Canis lupus familiaris: one gene and its partners. The main gene of each other region encodes a partner of the protein of the gene in region 3 in a complex. Links are inferred from orthologs where the notes say so. Each region holds a gene or a part of one and is shown on either strand. Other genes may lie near its edges.

The links.
Region 1: MED21 (region 3) and MED8 share a complex: the UniProt entries of both Homo sapiens proteins name them as parts of the mediator complex. The link is inferred for Canis lupus familiaris from reciprocal best matches to the Homo sapiens genes MED21 and MED8.
Region 2: MED21 (region 3) and MED31 share a complex: the UniProt entries of both Homo sapiens proteins name them as parts of the mediator complex. The link is inferred for Canis lupus familiaris from reciprocal best matches to the Homo sapiens genes MED21 and MED31.

Annotation. Positions count from the first base shown.
Region 1 is NC_049236.1:16,881,064-16,885,204, forward strand, and holds the start of MED8 (mediator of RNA polymerase II transcription subunit 8), read left to right. Parts: upstream 1-1,337; 5' UTR 1,338-1,390; coding exon 1,391-1,396; intron 1,397-2,909; coding exon 2,910-3,028; intron 3,029-3,951; coding exon 3,952-4,096; intron 4,097-4,141. Other genes in the region: KICSTOR complex protein SZT2, read right to left, coding at 1,101-1,127. UniProt on the Homo sapiens protein: Component of the Mediator complex, a coactivator involved in the regulated transcription of nearly all RNA polymerase II-dependent genes.
Region 2 is NC_049226.1:30,892,063-30,896,161, reverse strand, and holds the start of MED31 (mediator of RNA polymerase II transcription subunit 31), read right to left. Parts: upstream 2,805-4,099; 5' UTR 2,677-2,804; coding exon 2,649-2,676; intron 1,951-2,648; coding exon 1,873-1,950; intron 1,586-1,872; coding exon 1,489-1,585; intron 1-1,488. UniProt on the Homo sapiens protein: Component of the Mediator complex, a coactivator involved in the regulated transcription of nearly all RNA polymerase II-dependent genes.
Region 3 is NC_049248.1:25,930,689-25,934,796, reverse strand, and holds the start of MED21 (mediator of RNA polymerase II transcription subunit 21), read right to left. Parts: upstream 2,816-4,108; 5' UTR 2,797-2,815; coding exon 2,755-2,796; intron 1-2,754. UniProt on the Homo sapiens protein: Component of the Mediator complex, a coactivator involved in the regulated transcription of nearly all RNA polymerase II-dependent genes.

The DNA.
Region 1 (4,141 bases), on a different chromosome or scaffold from region 3:
GGGATTCCTAGCTCTACTACTTACTAGCTGTGTTACTATGTTGCTTGGTGAGCTCTGTGCCTCAATTTCCCCCAAATGAAAGATGGAGATGATAAAAAGCATCTAGGGATGAGAGCACTAACTGATATTTGCAGTGTCGAGAATGGTGCCTGGCATGCAGTAAGCATTCACTAAGTAATAACTACTATTTATGTCACTATACACATCCTTCACCCTTCCCACCTACTCATATATTCTCTTAGAATACTGGGCACTTCCTTTAGTGATGTTCTTTCCAAATCTGATTTTATGCTCAGATCTTCTAATTTCAAAACTCTGCTACTCCCCAGCTCAGCAGCACTTGGGTAAGGTACTTAACCTTCACTTTTGGGTTTCCTTATCTGCAAATGAGAAATGGATATTGCCACCTCCCTGGCACAAGTTTGAGTAACATCATGTACGTACAAGTTCCTTTCATTAGCACCTAATGGGTGCTCATATGCATTTTCTGGTTTAATGCAGAAGGTCCTCACAACACACCGTAAGGCAGGTATCTTAATGAAGAAGGAAACAGGATCGGGATAGTCAAGACTTGCCCAAAGTTGCACAGACAGCTAAATGGCGACACCAATACTGGGACGAAACTTCACTCTGAGCCAAATGTTTTTTCTTTTCTTTTTTTTCCCACGAAACCAAAGCTGCTCCCTAAGTGCATAAGCGCTACAACTAAGTTAACTCACGCTGTTCACGGCATTCCAATGCCTGCAGAAATGCAAAAACCATCAACGTACTAGTGCCATGTTGCCCACGGAAACTGCGGTAGAAAAATCAAACCTCAGGTTTTGTTAACATCGATATTAAAGACCGAAGAATCCGAGAGCCCTGGAGCCGGGGACGTGTCTGAAATTTCAATAAACAAAACAAAGCGACGGGTTTCTGCTCTAGCCGCCCCCACGACGACACTGCGGGCCGCGGGGAGGAGGCTCAGTCAGTGGTCGGGCCTTTGGGGCCGGGCCGGTCCCTGCGCAGGCTACGCGGCCCGGCCGCCCCCAAACCGGGAGGAGGCCTCCTCCTCGGGGCCCGGGGTCCAGCGCCCTGCGTTGCGCCCGCCCGCCCCTCACCTCCGGCTCCGGGCGCTCCGAGGCCATCACACAGCCCTCCCGCGCCGGCCCGGGCCAGAGAAGATGCTCCACTCTTGACCCTTGACCCGGCTCCCGGAGACCCGCCGGAACCGGAAGTGAGTGGGCGGGCCGCGCTCTCCCTGAGTTTTCTGATTGGGGGACGAGGCCTCTAGAGTGGATCGCCGACTAGGAAACCGGAAGCGGAAGCCGCCGCCGCCGCCGCCGCCGCCGCCGCCATCGCCGCCTTCGCCATCGCCGCCGCCGCTATAGCCGCCATCGCCGCCATCGCCATGCAGGTGAGAGCGGGCTTGGGGCTGTTAACCGCTAGCTAGCTTCAGGTGACAGGACTGAGAATGGGCTGGCCGAGGAGAGAGTGAGGAGTCGGGGCCGACTGGAGGGGCAGAGCGCGTAGCTGACGGGTAAGGGCCCGCGGGGGCGCGGACGACTGGAGCGGTGGGGGTGGGGCCCACCTGGCAAGAGATGGGAGGTTGGGGCCTTGTCGTGGGGAAGGAGGCTGCGTGGACTAGCTGGCGTGCACGGAGGGATCAGGCTACGGTAACTGGGACGGTTGATATGCAATGCAAGGAAGGCAGCTCAAGAAAATGCAAGTTGGCTCCGGCCCCTGCCCAAGCTGTTGGATGTAGACGTGAGGGATCTGGATGGAATTGCAGAGGAGCCCGAGGGATTGGGGGAAGGGGAGGGAGGCCCAGAGCCGAGCTACTTAAAATCTGAGGCTCTGTGAGTGGAGCCCCGGATCCAGGCCCTCCTCATGCCCCTTGGTGAGTTTGCAAGACAGCTCTGCATCATTTCTCCCAGCCTGAGCCTGTTAGTTGTTGAGGATGAAGAAATGGAGTAAAACTGGAGACCACAGACGGGAGGAAACTGCAGACACCCCAGCATTTTAAAATTGTGTCTCTGGCGCCTAGGAGCATGTGCGTTTTGTCTTTGTTTTTCACTTGCCACTTACTTTCTTGCACCTGGTTGGCTGTCAGTAAATGTCTTCAGGCTGAGTGAGCTTGTGGAAGGGACGCAGGAATACGGGCACAGAGATAAAGCGAAGGGCACAGAGATAAAGCGAATGCCGACTAATCCAGCAAGAAGAAGCTTGAAAACTTCAAATGCTGACGCAGATGAGGAGTGGGGGAGGGGCCGTGGGGTACAAGTTTCAGGGAAACCTTAGTTTCCTTCGTTTCCACAAGCATGAGTATGTTTTCCGGAGATTATGTGACTGGCAAGAACTTCCAGGCTCACAAGGCAAGTTCTAGGACAAGAGAAAGACAAAATACTGCAGAGGCACACAAAAGTTAATAAAGCCCAGGGATTATGTCTGAAAAAAATGCCTCAGTGAGAGTGTTTCTATTTTTTTTTTAATTTTATTTATTTATTCATGACAGACACAGAGAGGGAGAGACACAGGCAGAGGGAGAAGCAGGCTCCATGCAGGGAGCCCGACATGGGACTCAATCCTGAGGCCCCAGGATCACGGCCCCTGGGCCAAAGGCAGCACTAAACCGCTGAGCCACGCGGGCTTCCCTGAGAGAGTGTCTAATACAGAGGAAAGCCAGACATGAATTAGCAGACAATGAGGGAAAGGAGGAATTGAGGTCAGGCAAATGGATTGAAAGGTCTAAGAATTGATGCTGTCTGTAACCCAAATACCAAAGATAGAGAACAGCCTGGCTTTCCTGCACCAGTGAGATCCTGGGTTACTTGACTAGTTTTGCATACTGTCATCCCGGCTTTTCAGCCTTCCCTGTATACGACATAGCCACACCTATCTGGGTAACCAACCTGTTCCTATTGGTGCAGAGGGAGGAGAAGCAGCTGGAGGCATCATTAGATGCACTGCTGAGTCAAGTGGCTGATCTGAAGAACTCACTGGGGAGTTTCATATACAAGTTGGAGAACGAGTATGACCGGCTGACCTGGTAAGGGTTGCCAGGGCAAGCTGAGGAGGGCTCCATGGGGTGGGGGTTGAGGGGGCAGGCCTCCTGATTGATAGGACATCTCCAGGGATGTCACAATTTATCACTTTGCAAACATTTTTTTTTCTTTTAAATTTCCAAGTTTGTTTTTTTGTTTTTTGTTTTTAGATTTCATTTATTTATTCATGAGAGACACAGAATGAGAGAGAGGCAGAGACACAGGCAGAGGCAGAAGCAGGCTCCCTGCAGGGAGCCCGACGTGGAACTCGATCTCGGGTCTCCAGGATTACGCCCTGGGCTGAAGGCGGTGCTAAACCACCGAGCTACCCGTGCTGTCCTGCAAACATCTTTTAATTTGAAAAGATCTATGTTTCCCAACATTTAACAAGTGAAGTTTGTCTTAGGGCCACTGTGGCACGGAAATAGAGAAATGCCCAGTTTTCCAACCCAAGTTTTTTCTAGCTTTTGATTGTCACCCTTGACTTCTTTGGGAGGAGGTACTCCGTCAGTGGGTCCTCCCACTATAGTAAGAGTACAGCGTTCATCTCGGGTCTCTTACGATAGATATTGCTGAGTCTTTTAGGTCCAACCTACTCTGGAAGTGTGGATCCTGTTTTCAGGCCTGAAAGATCTCTTTTTGCTCAGTTTATAAATTTTTAATGATAAGCATAGCCATGGTTCTTACTTTGCCACTGGTCTTTTACCCCATTCAAATAATGAGCTGCCTTATTTCTCCATCCATGTTAGAAACTAAAAGCGTGTCCCGTTTTCATAACCCCACAATCCCTGGGATCCAGTCTGGTTCCTGCCCAGTCCAGCTGTAGTGCTCTGAGTCTTTTTCGAGTGAGCCTGGGTATTCCTAGTCTGAAAGACCCCTTCGAGGCTACTTTACTGAGAACATTGTGACACCTTCTTACCACTACCAGGCCGTCTGTCCTGGACAGCTTCGCCTTGCTCTCTGGACAGTTGAACACTTTGAACAAGGTCTTGAAGCATGAAAAGACACCGCTGTTCCGCAACCAGGTCATCATCCCCCTGGTGCTGTCTCCAGACCGTGATGAAGATCTCATGGTAAGAAGAGAAGAAGGGCATAACATGGGAAATTAAATTCTTAGA
Region 2 (4,099 bases), on a different chromosome or scaffold from region 3:
TATTATATCCCAAAATAAGGAAAAACTTTCCAGCACCCAGCTAATGGTGCAACTGTCCCTAAATGGAGAACAGGTGCTCACTGGACCCATGCAGAGTGTAGACGGCCAGCCCTGAACTAGACCTTGCCTGTGTCTCCAGGTCCAAATGGAGTCTCCAAGTCTACACATGCACACAACAGCTAATGAAAAAGCTTTTCTCCGGATTATTCAATGAATAAGTGGCTGTTCATAAAGGAGCAGTCAGGGTGTACAGGGTCCTGCAGGGAGAAGGATGTGGGTTTTGTGAATCAGTTGACACAAATCAAAAAAGTGACTTGGAAAAAAAATAAAAATACAAAAAATAAAAAGTGACTTGGATAAAGTACAAGTCTGAATCATTTTCCTATCAAACGTGTTTGTTTAAAAGAAAGACAAGAAAAAAAAAAAAAAAAAAAAAAAGAAAGACAAGAAGTTCAACTATTGCTTTCTGACTACCTAGTGAAGACAAAGAAGAGGGATGGGTTCAAGGTTGAAACAAGTGTGATGCTTGGCACAGAGGAGGCACAGCAGCTATAGACACACTGGTTTGGGTTTGTTTTTTGGACTTTTTGTTTAAAAATTAAAGGCGTGTGGCAACCCATCAGCAAGCAAGTCTATGGGTACCATTTTTCCAACTACATTTGCTCACTTTATGTCTGTCATTATTTGATAATTCTCACATTTCAAACTTTTCTTTATCATTGTATTTGTTAGGGTGATCTGTGATCAGACTCCATAAAACCTCAGATGACAGTGTTTTTTAACAATATTTTTAAATTAAGGTATGTACCTCTTTCTTGACTTAATGCTATAGTGTTAACAACCCTTATACGCACTAGAGAACCCAAAAACTTGGGTCACTTTATTGCAATATTCACCACATTGCAGTGGCCTGGAACCACATCAACAGTATCCAAGGAATGCCTATATTAAGAGTCAGGTAAGGTCACCTCCTCCAGAAAACCTTCCAAGTACCTGATGTTCTTTAATCTTCAGCCTCAGGTAATACCACTGCATCTACAGACTGTGGGTTCATTAGGGTCAGAAATTCAGTGAGATGGGGTGAGTGGTAGATAGATAAAGAGAGACCTGAGAAAAGAGAGAGGATTTTGTTTCACATGCAATGGGAAACCACTGGGAGGTTTTAAGCAAGAAAATACCACGTCATAATTTACATTTTTGAAAGATCAAGTTGGCTTCCCTGTGGAAAACTGTTTTGCTTGGTTTGGCTTGCGGGAGGGAGGACACAGAAGGAAGGTAAGAGCACAAGCAGGGAGAAGCAGGGGGGTGGACACCGCAATAATCCAAGCTGGAGAGGGGGTGGCTCTGTATTAAGGTGGAGGCAACTGAAAGAAGTGGAGAGATTCAAAATATACTTTTTTCCAATGGGAAATGAGAAAATCTGTCAAATATCAGTATTTTTAATGTAATAACTATACACATATTTAGGACTATAAAAATTAAACTTACTTTAGATACTTGGCATATTCTGGTTCTTTCCAGTAAAGCAAGTACTTAAGATAATTAACAAAAGCTTTGTCTTTGAAGTAACCTCTTTGGGCAAGAACTGAAAGGCATAAACAAACAAACAAAAAAATCTGTAGAGCAAACCAATCCTCGGACTACTGATTTGTGACCCCTCACATAAAGCATCTACTTATATAACTTCCCCACCACCAACACACACTAAATGCTGAACATAAGTCCCAATTTGTTCTCACACACACCAGTATAAGCGTAGCAGTTAATTCCACTGGATTGAGAACATATAAAAATAGGTATCATTAGGAACTGCAGTTCTTCTGCCAGAGATCACTAACAGCTACTCAAGTCAGTAAGAGCTCAAGGACTTACAGTTAAGATAATTGGGGTTGGCTAGGCACTGCACAAATTCCAGCTCCAACTGAAACCGAAGTCGATTCCCGGCATCATCTAGGAGGGAAGTGAGCAAAAATCATCCAAAGTAAAGGTGACTAAAAAATAAATAAAATAAATAAAAAACAAAATAAAGGTGACTATCTAAAGTGCTGGTTTGTAGAAAGAAAACAGCAGTGGAGTGTTCTGAGTATTGCTGAGAGTATCTCTGAAGGCATAAGGCAGGGATGACTGTCCTAAGCTGGATGTGGGAAGAGAGGGCCGTTTCCTCCCAAGTCTAGAGAGCAGGGCCCTGATTAATGAGACCAGTAACTCCTTAAGGAGAAGTCCGAGGAAGCGGGCGCCCCCTGGGCAGGATGTTCACCCTCTGGCAGCCACTCCCCAGGACCTCCAGGGTGACCAGTGGCGGAGGGCTGCAAGCTAAGCAAGAGGAGGGGGCGAGTGTGCTCCCGCTAGGGCCTGGCGGGGAGGGGGGACTGGTTCGGGGCGGCAGGATTTGGGAGGCCCGGGGGAGGGGGGTGTCAGAGCCCGGAGGCTGGGAGGGCCAGGACCTGGGATGGGTCGGGAGGCCGCGGGGTCGGGGCCCGGGAGGGGTTGAGGCTGAGGGGTGGTCGGCGTCTGCGCGGCAAGCGAGGAGGAGGTAGCCGCGGACAGGAGCCCCGCCGAAGTCACGCCACACAGGAGTCCCGGGGGAAGCTGGAGGAGGAGGCCAGCCGGCTGTAGCTGTGTTTGCCAGGGCTCCGGCCGCTACCTACCTGTCTCCATAGCGACGGCCGCGGCCATCGCCAGCAAAAGCGCCGAGACGTCACCAGCACGACGAGCAGCTTCCCGGAGGTCCCGGAAGCTGCGGCCCCACTTCCTGTCGCGGGGCAGTGTGGGATGCGGGGCGGGGCGGTCCTCTCGGGCCCCGCCCACCGGCCTCGCGCAGACTCGCAAGGGGCGAGGGGCGGAGCTGGGGCGCTCCGAGCGCGGGAGGGGTCCTGTCCCCGCCTCTCTGCTCGCCCAGTGACGTAGCCGCGGGGGTCCCGAGCGCCTCCGGGAGCGCCTACATCCCCTCGGTGGGGTCTCCCGCGGGGGCAGTCCTCAGCCGGGAGAACGCCCAGCGGCCGTTCCAACCCACAGGGACCCCCCCCTTGACCCGAGCGCAGGTGCGGCAGGTGCGGCAGGTGCGGCAGGTGCGGCAGGTGCGGCAGGTGCGGCAGGTGCGGCAGGTGCGGGGTCGGCACTGGGCCAGCCCCCTCCGCCGCGCGTCGGCCGGGTGGCCGCACCGTTGACCCCGGGAGCCCCCTTGCAGCAAGCCAGCACTGGAGGTCCGCAGGCCCGCGACGCTCCGCCAGCCTGATGGGCTGATGGATAGGGAGGCTGTTGTTCCAACCACCCTCACGATCCAGACTTCGGGGACAGGGAGCAAACCCAAACCGTGACCACTGGGAGGATCACACCGCGGCCGGAAACCGAGGGGCAAGAAACAGACCTCCATTAATTAACCAGTTGGCCTTTGTGTTTCAAACCAAGCAGGTATTTTGTTTATGCTAAGCCCTGTGCCCTGTACGGGCACCCCCAGTCACACACATTTCCATACAGGTCAGACTAGATAAAAGTCAACATCTACCATGAGGCGTGATCTCGGAAGGGAACCCGGCCCGGGTCTCGCAGAGGGCGGGGAGGGCAGTACTATTTATGGAGCCTCTCCTCTGTGGGCACTTGGACAAGGTAGGCAGGACCCAGGCTCTCAGGAGCTCACACTGGTGAAGGGGCACACGGCAAATGATGAAAAGACCATTTTCTATCGCAATGAGTAACTGAAGGAAACAGGTAATGGGAGGGGTTCCTCACTCAGAAGTGTCAGGGAAGGCCTTGGTTAGGGGACTTGGATCTGAGGCTTGTGTGGGTGGACAGTGAGCCGTGCAGGGGTCTGGGACAGCAACGCAAGGGCTGGACGGGAGCAATCTTGGAATGTTCTGGAACAGAAAGAAGACCAGCGTTGTTGGAGCTATGCGAGGGACAAGCGTGGTACAGGAGAGAGGACGTTAGCGAAAGAAGCAGCAGCAAGTTCACAAAGGGTCTTGGAAGCCATAGAAAGGGGCTTGGGTTTTATTCTAAGGTCAATGGGAAGACACCGCAGTGTTTTCAGCAGGGGAGTTGCGTGATGCAATCCCATTTTTAGAAATATCTTGGCTTCTGTGTGGAGGATGTAGGATCGGGG
Region 3 (4,108 bases):
TCTGCTCAATATTCTCTCCCTCCCCCTTTGCCCCTCCCACTTGTATTCTCTCTCTCTCAAATAAATCTTTATTTTTTTTTAAAGATTTTATTTATTCATGAGAATACACAGAGAAGAGAGAGACAGAGAGAGGCAGAGACACAGGCAGAGGGAGAAGCAGGCTCCATGCAGGGAGCCCAATGCAGGACTCGATCCCGGAACTCCAGGATCACGCCCTGGGCTGAAGGCGGCACTAAACCGCTGAGCCATCTGGGCTGCCCTCAAATAAATCTTTAAAAAAAAATTTTTTTTTTAAATTTGAGCTCACCCCAACATGGCCTTTAAGATTAATCTCCAACCCTTCAGGCTATTTCAAAGCTTTCGATAATCTAAGTCAACTCTACTTCTTCATTTTCTACTAATTCCTTCATATATACCTAACTAGTGATAAATTCATTCCAGACTATACTGTGTTGCTCATGTTTTGCTACTTGTAATGGCACAGTATTAAGTGCTTAGAAGCTGTACAGATGTGGATTCCAATTCTGGTTCTAGTAACCTGAGTACAGTTTTTAATTTTTAAACTGGGAACATTTTCACATTACACCACTGTTCTGAGGAATAAAGAAAACACACAAGCATAAATATTCAACACAGTGGCTATCTGTTGTGTTCTTCAAAAGCTCTCTCAAGATCCATTTATTCAATAAATATTAAAAAAATCAACTCTATGACAAGCATTGTAATAAACATTATAATGAAACAATGAACAAAGGCACAGCTTCTGCCCTCATGGAGTTCTCAGGGGGTAAAACAAATAACTTTAATAATTTTACAAATAATTACAATTCAGATCAATGCTTAGAAGATTTCCTTTACTCAGTTCATATCACTCTCTATTCCAATTTACCTCAGCACTTACATTTGAAGGCGCTTGATTCATTATAAACACCTAACCAAATCCTACTTTTAAATTATTTAAATGTCTTGAGTATATGACATCATTCCAATTAGACTGTAAACTCCCCAAGGAGTATTTTTCTGTAAACATGAGAGTGCTTACATACACATTAGGCATTCACACTAGTTAACCTAGAGATTTCTCTCCAAAATCCAATTATCAGCATGCTTACCCTGGAGTCAAGGCCATATTCACTGTCTCCTATTATCTCTCTGGTTACAAGACATGTATGAATATGCAACATTTCTCCTAAAATAACATTTCTGCCCAGCAGCATCGTTACAATTTGATTCTGAAGAGCCTCAAAGTAATATCTCCCAGAAGGAAGTTGGCTGGCAGCCCACGCATGTCACCATAAAGTAGAATTTATCTTAGTGACTTCATCAACCTTTAGGGGCTAGCCCTCTCAGTCCTAAAAGGTCTTATTTTATTTACGGAGTAAGTCAGTTTTATTTTATTTTTTTTAAGACTATTTATTGAGAGACGGGGGGGGGGGGGGGGGGGGGGGGAGAGGGAGAGAGGCACAGACACAAGCCCACTCCATGCAGGGAGCCTGAGGTGGGACTCGATCCTGAGTCTCCAGATCACACCCCGGGCTGAAGGTGGCGCTAAACCGCTAAGCCACCCGGGGCCGCCCGGAGTAAATCAGTTTTTCACAAGTCGATTCCCCCCTCATTTGAAGTGAACAAAGATGGATGCAACAAGAATCCTAACTTCTTATCTTCCGGTGTGAAAAAAACTGGCAAGGGAACAGATACTTCGATTTTCCAGTCAACATATTCTCTCTCTAAAGACATTTGACCTGGGATATCAAATTATAAACAGATTGGCAGGCCCGGGTGGCTCAGCGGTTTAGCGCCGCCTTCGGCCCAGGGTGTGATCCTGGAGACCCCAGATCGAGTCCCGCGTCGGGCTCCCTTGCATGGATTGTACTTCTCTTTCTCATGAATAAATAAAACCTTAAAAAAAAAAAAAAACAGATTGACAATGAGAAATATAACTAATGGCAAACTGTTGAACTCTTTATGGTCATGAGCACATGAATCCTCTGGTTCGCATGTACTTTCCAGTCAGGCATAACAGGAAAAAAATAATAAGGATCAAAGTAAGGGGGTCGGCTTACAAGATCTGACCCTTAACAGAAAGTAGACTTTTTGCGACACATTAAAGACTTAAATAAATGGGAACATACGCAAGGATTAGAAGATTCACTCTCCTAAAGATGTCAGTTTTCCCCAAACTGATTGATGCCAGGGAGCGCCAAGAGATGGGAACGAGACCCTTTGTCTCTGGGAACCAACGAAGAGGAAACAGAATTTCTCACCTCACCATCACTCCAGGCTCAACCTGCAAAGTCCTGACGCAGGAATACTCTCGGCTGACATTTAACAAAAAAATATCCAATCGTCAGGAGCACAGTTTCTCCTTCGCGGCTTAACACTGATAAGGGAAACAAGGAGCTTCTGCCGCTTTCCCCCTTACCCCCGAAAGAGAAGTGAGCCCAGAAGTACGACTGGCAGTAAAATAAAACTGTTCCCAGAGAACAGGACAGGACCGTGACGCCTAAGTGTCCTGACAGAGAGACCCCCTACTTTTCCGGTGAAAGAGGCTGCTGCTCCCTCAGCTCTCCGCGAAGCCGGCAGCCGGCCTCAAACCTCCCAGGACGCCGCGCCGCCTCCCGCCGCCGCCAGCGCTTTCTGCGGAAGCCCTGCCCCAGTCCGCTCCCCACTTTCGTGTGTTTTTCCCGGGGCCCTTTGCCCTCGTTTTACCTTAAGAAAGGGGAAGACAGAGACCAACAGAGCAAAATCGCTCACCGAGTTCACCGCGTCCTGCAGCTGTGTGAGCCGGTCCGCCATGTTCCTCCTGCAAGCTCCGGAGGCTAAAGCAGCTGCTCGCTCGCTATTGGGCGGCTTCAGGAAGCGTCGTAGCCAATCACAGGCCAGCGTTCTCGGAGGGGGTGGAGTCAGCGGCCCTCCGCGCCCGGCGAGTAGAGCGCGGGTGGGACTTTTGCGAGGCTGTGTTTCGGGCAGCTCCGCCCGCGAAGGCGCCTCGCGGAGGTTATTTTGAGTGACTTTGGGGTGGGGGTTCCGAGTTCCTTCGTTTTGGGTCCAGCAGACTCGTTCTCGAGGTTTTCGGGTGGTAGACAATTTTACGGAGATGGTTAGATGCTGCAGTTTTTAGAAGTGATTTTCCCCATCTTCCCGTGTATATTCGTTTTTAAACATTGCCTTGAATACTTACGTTACTTTGGATTTCCAGGTGGATCACCAAATATATACACAGCAACCAACTCAGGAATACTTGGGGGTCGCGATCCCGATTTTAACTTCAACAAATCCAAATTAAAATTCACCAGGCAATCTTGGCTGTGTTAGGGTGTCTCCTCTGGGGGGGTGGGGGTGGAGGGGGTGATGGGCCACCCAGGTGAAGACTGGGTGCGTGCTTTAATTCTGAATGTGGGTGTGCTGGGGAAGCTGACACACATGGGATGGAAAGCGTCCAAAACAACTAAGCACTAAATCGAGCTGTATTGACCGCGTAAGAAGAAAATGGTTGGGGGCAGCCTGGGTGGCTCAGTGGCTTAGCGCCGCCTTCAGCCCGGGGCGTGATCTTGGAGACCCGGGATCGAGTCCTACGTCGGGCTTGCTGCGTGGAGCCTGCTTCTTCCCTCTACCTGTGTCTCTGCCTCTCTCTAATAAATAAATAAAATCTTAAAAAAAAAAAAAAGTTGGAAAAGGAAGGTTTCTATAGGCAAAGTGAGTAGCAGAAGAGTGGCATCTGGAGTTCAGAGGTAAGGTGTGAGTGCAGTTAACTAATAAAAATCTCGCTCCTCTGACAGCGAGGAACTCAGTAGAAAGAACAGAAGAAGGTTGGTGGAGAGGAGAGTGGAGGAGGTTCCTGGAAAATGAGCCTTATGTGTAGGTAAGGGCAGGGACAATTTTTAAACAGATAAGGTGTGCAATTTATACTTAGCCGTGAGACCTATTGAGGATTTAGTGTGAAGGAAGATAATAGGAACTTGGTATCTGGAGCACCTGGCTGGTTCAGTGAGTGGAGCATGTGCACTTGATCTCCCGGTCCTATGTTCCACGTAGCCCCAGGTTGGATGTGTAGAGACTACTTAAAAAAATAAAAAAAGAAAAGAAAAAACAGAACTTGGTATCTAAG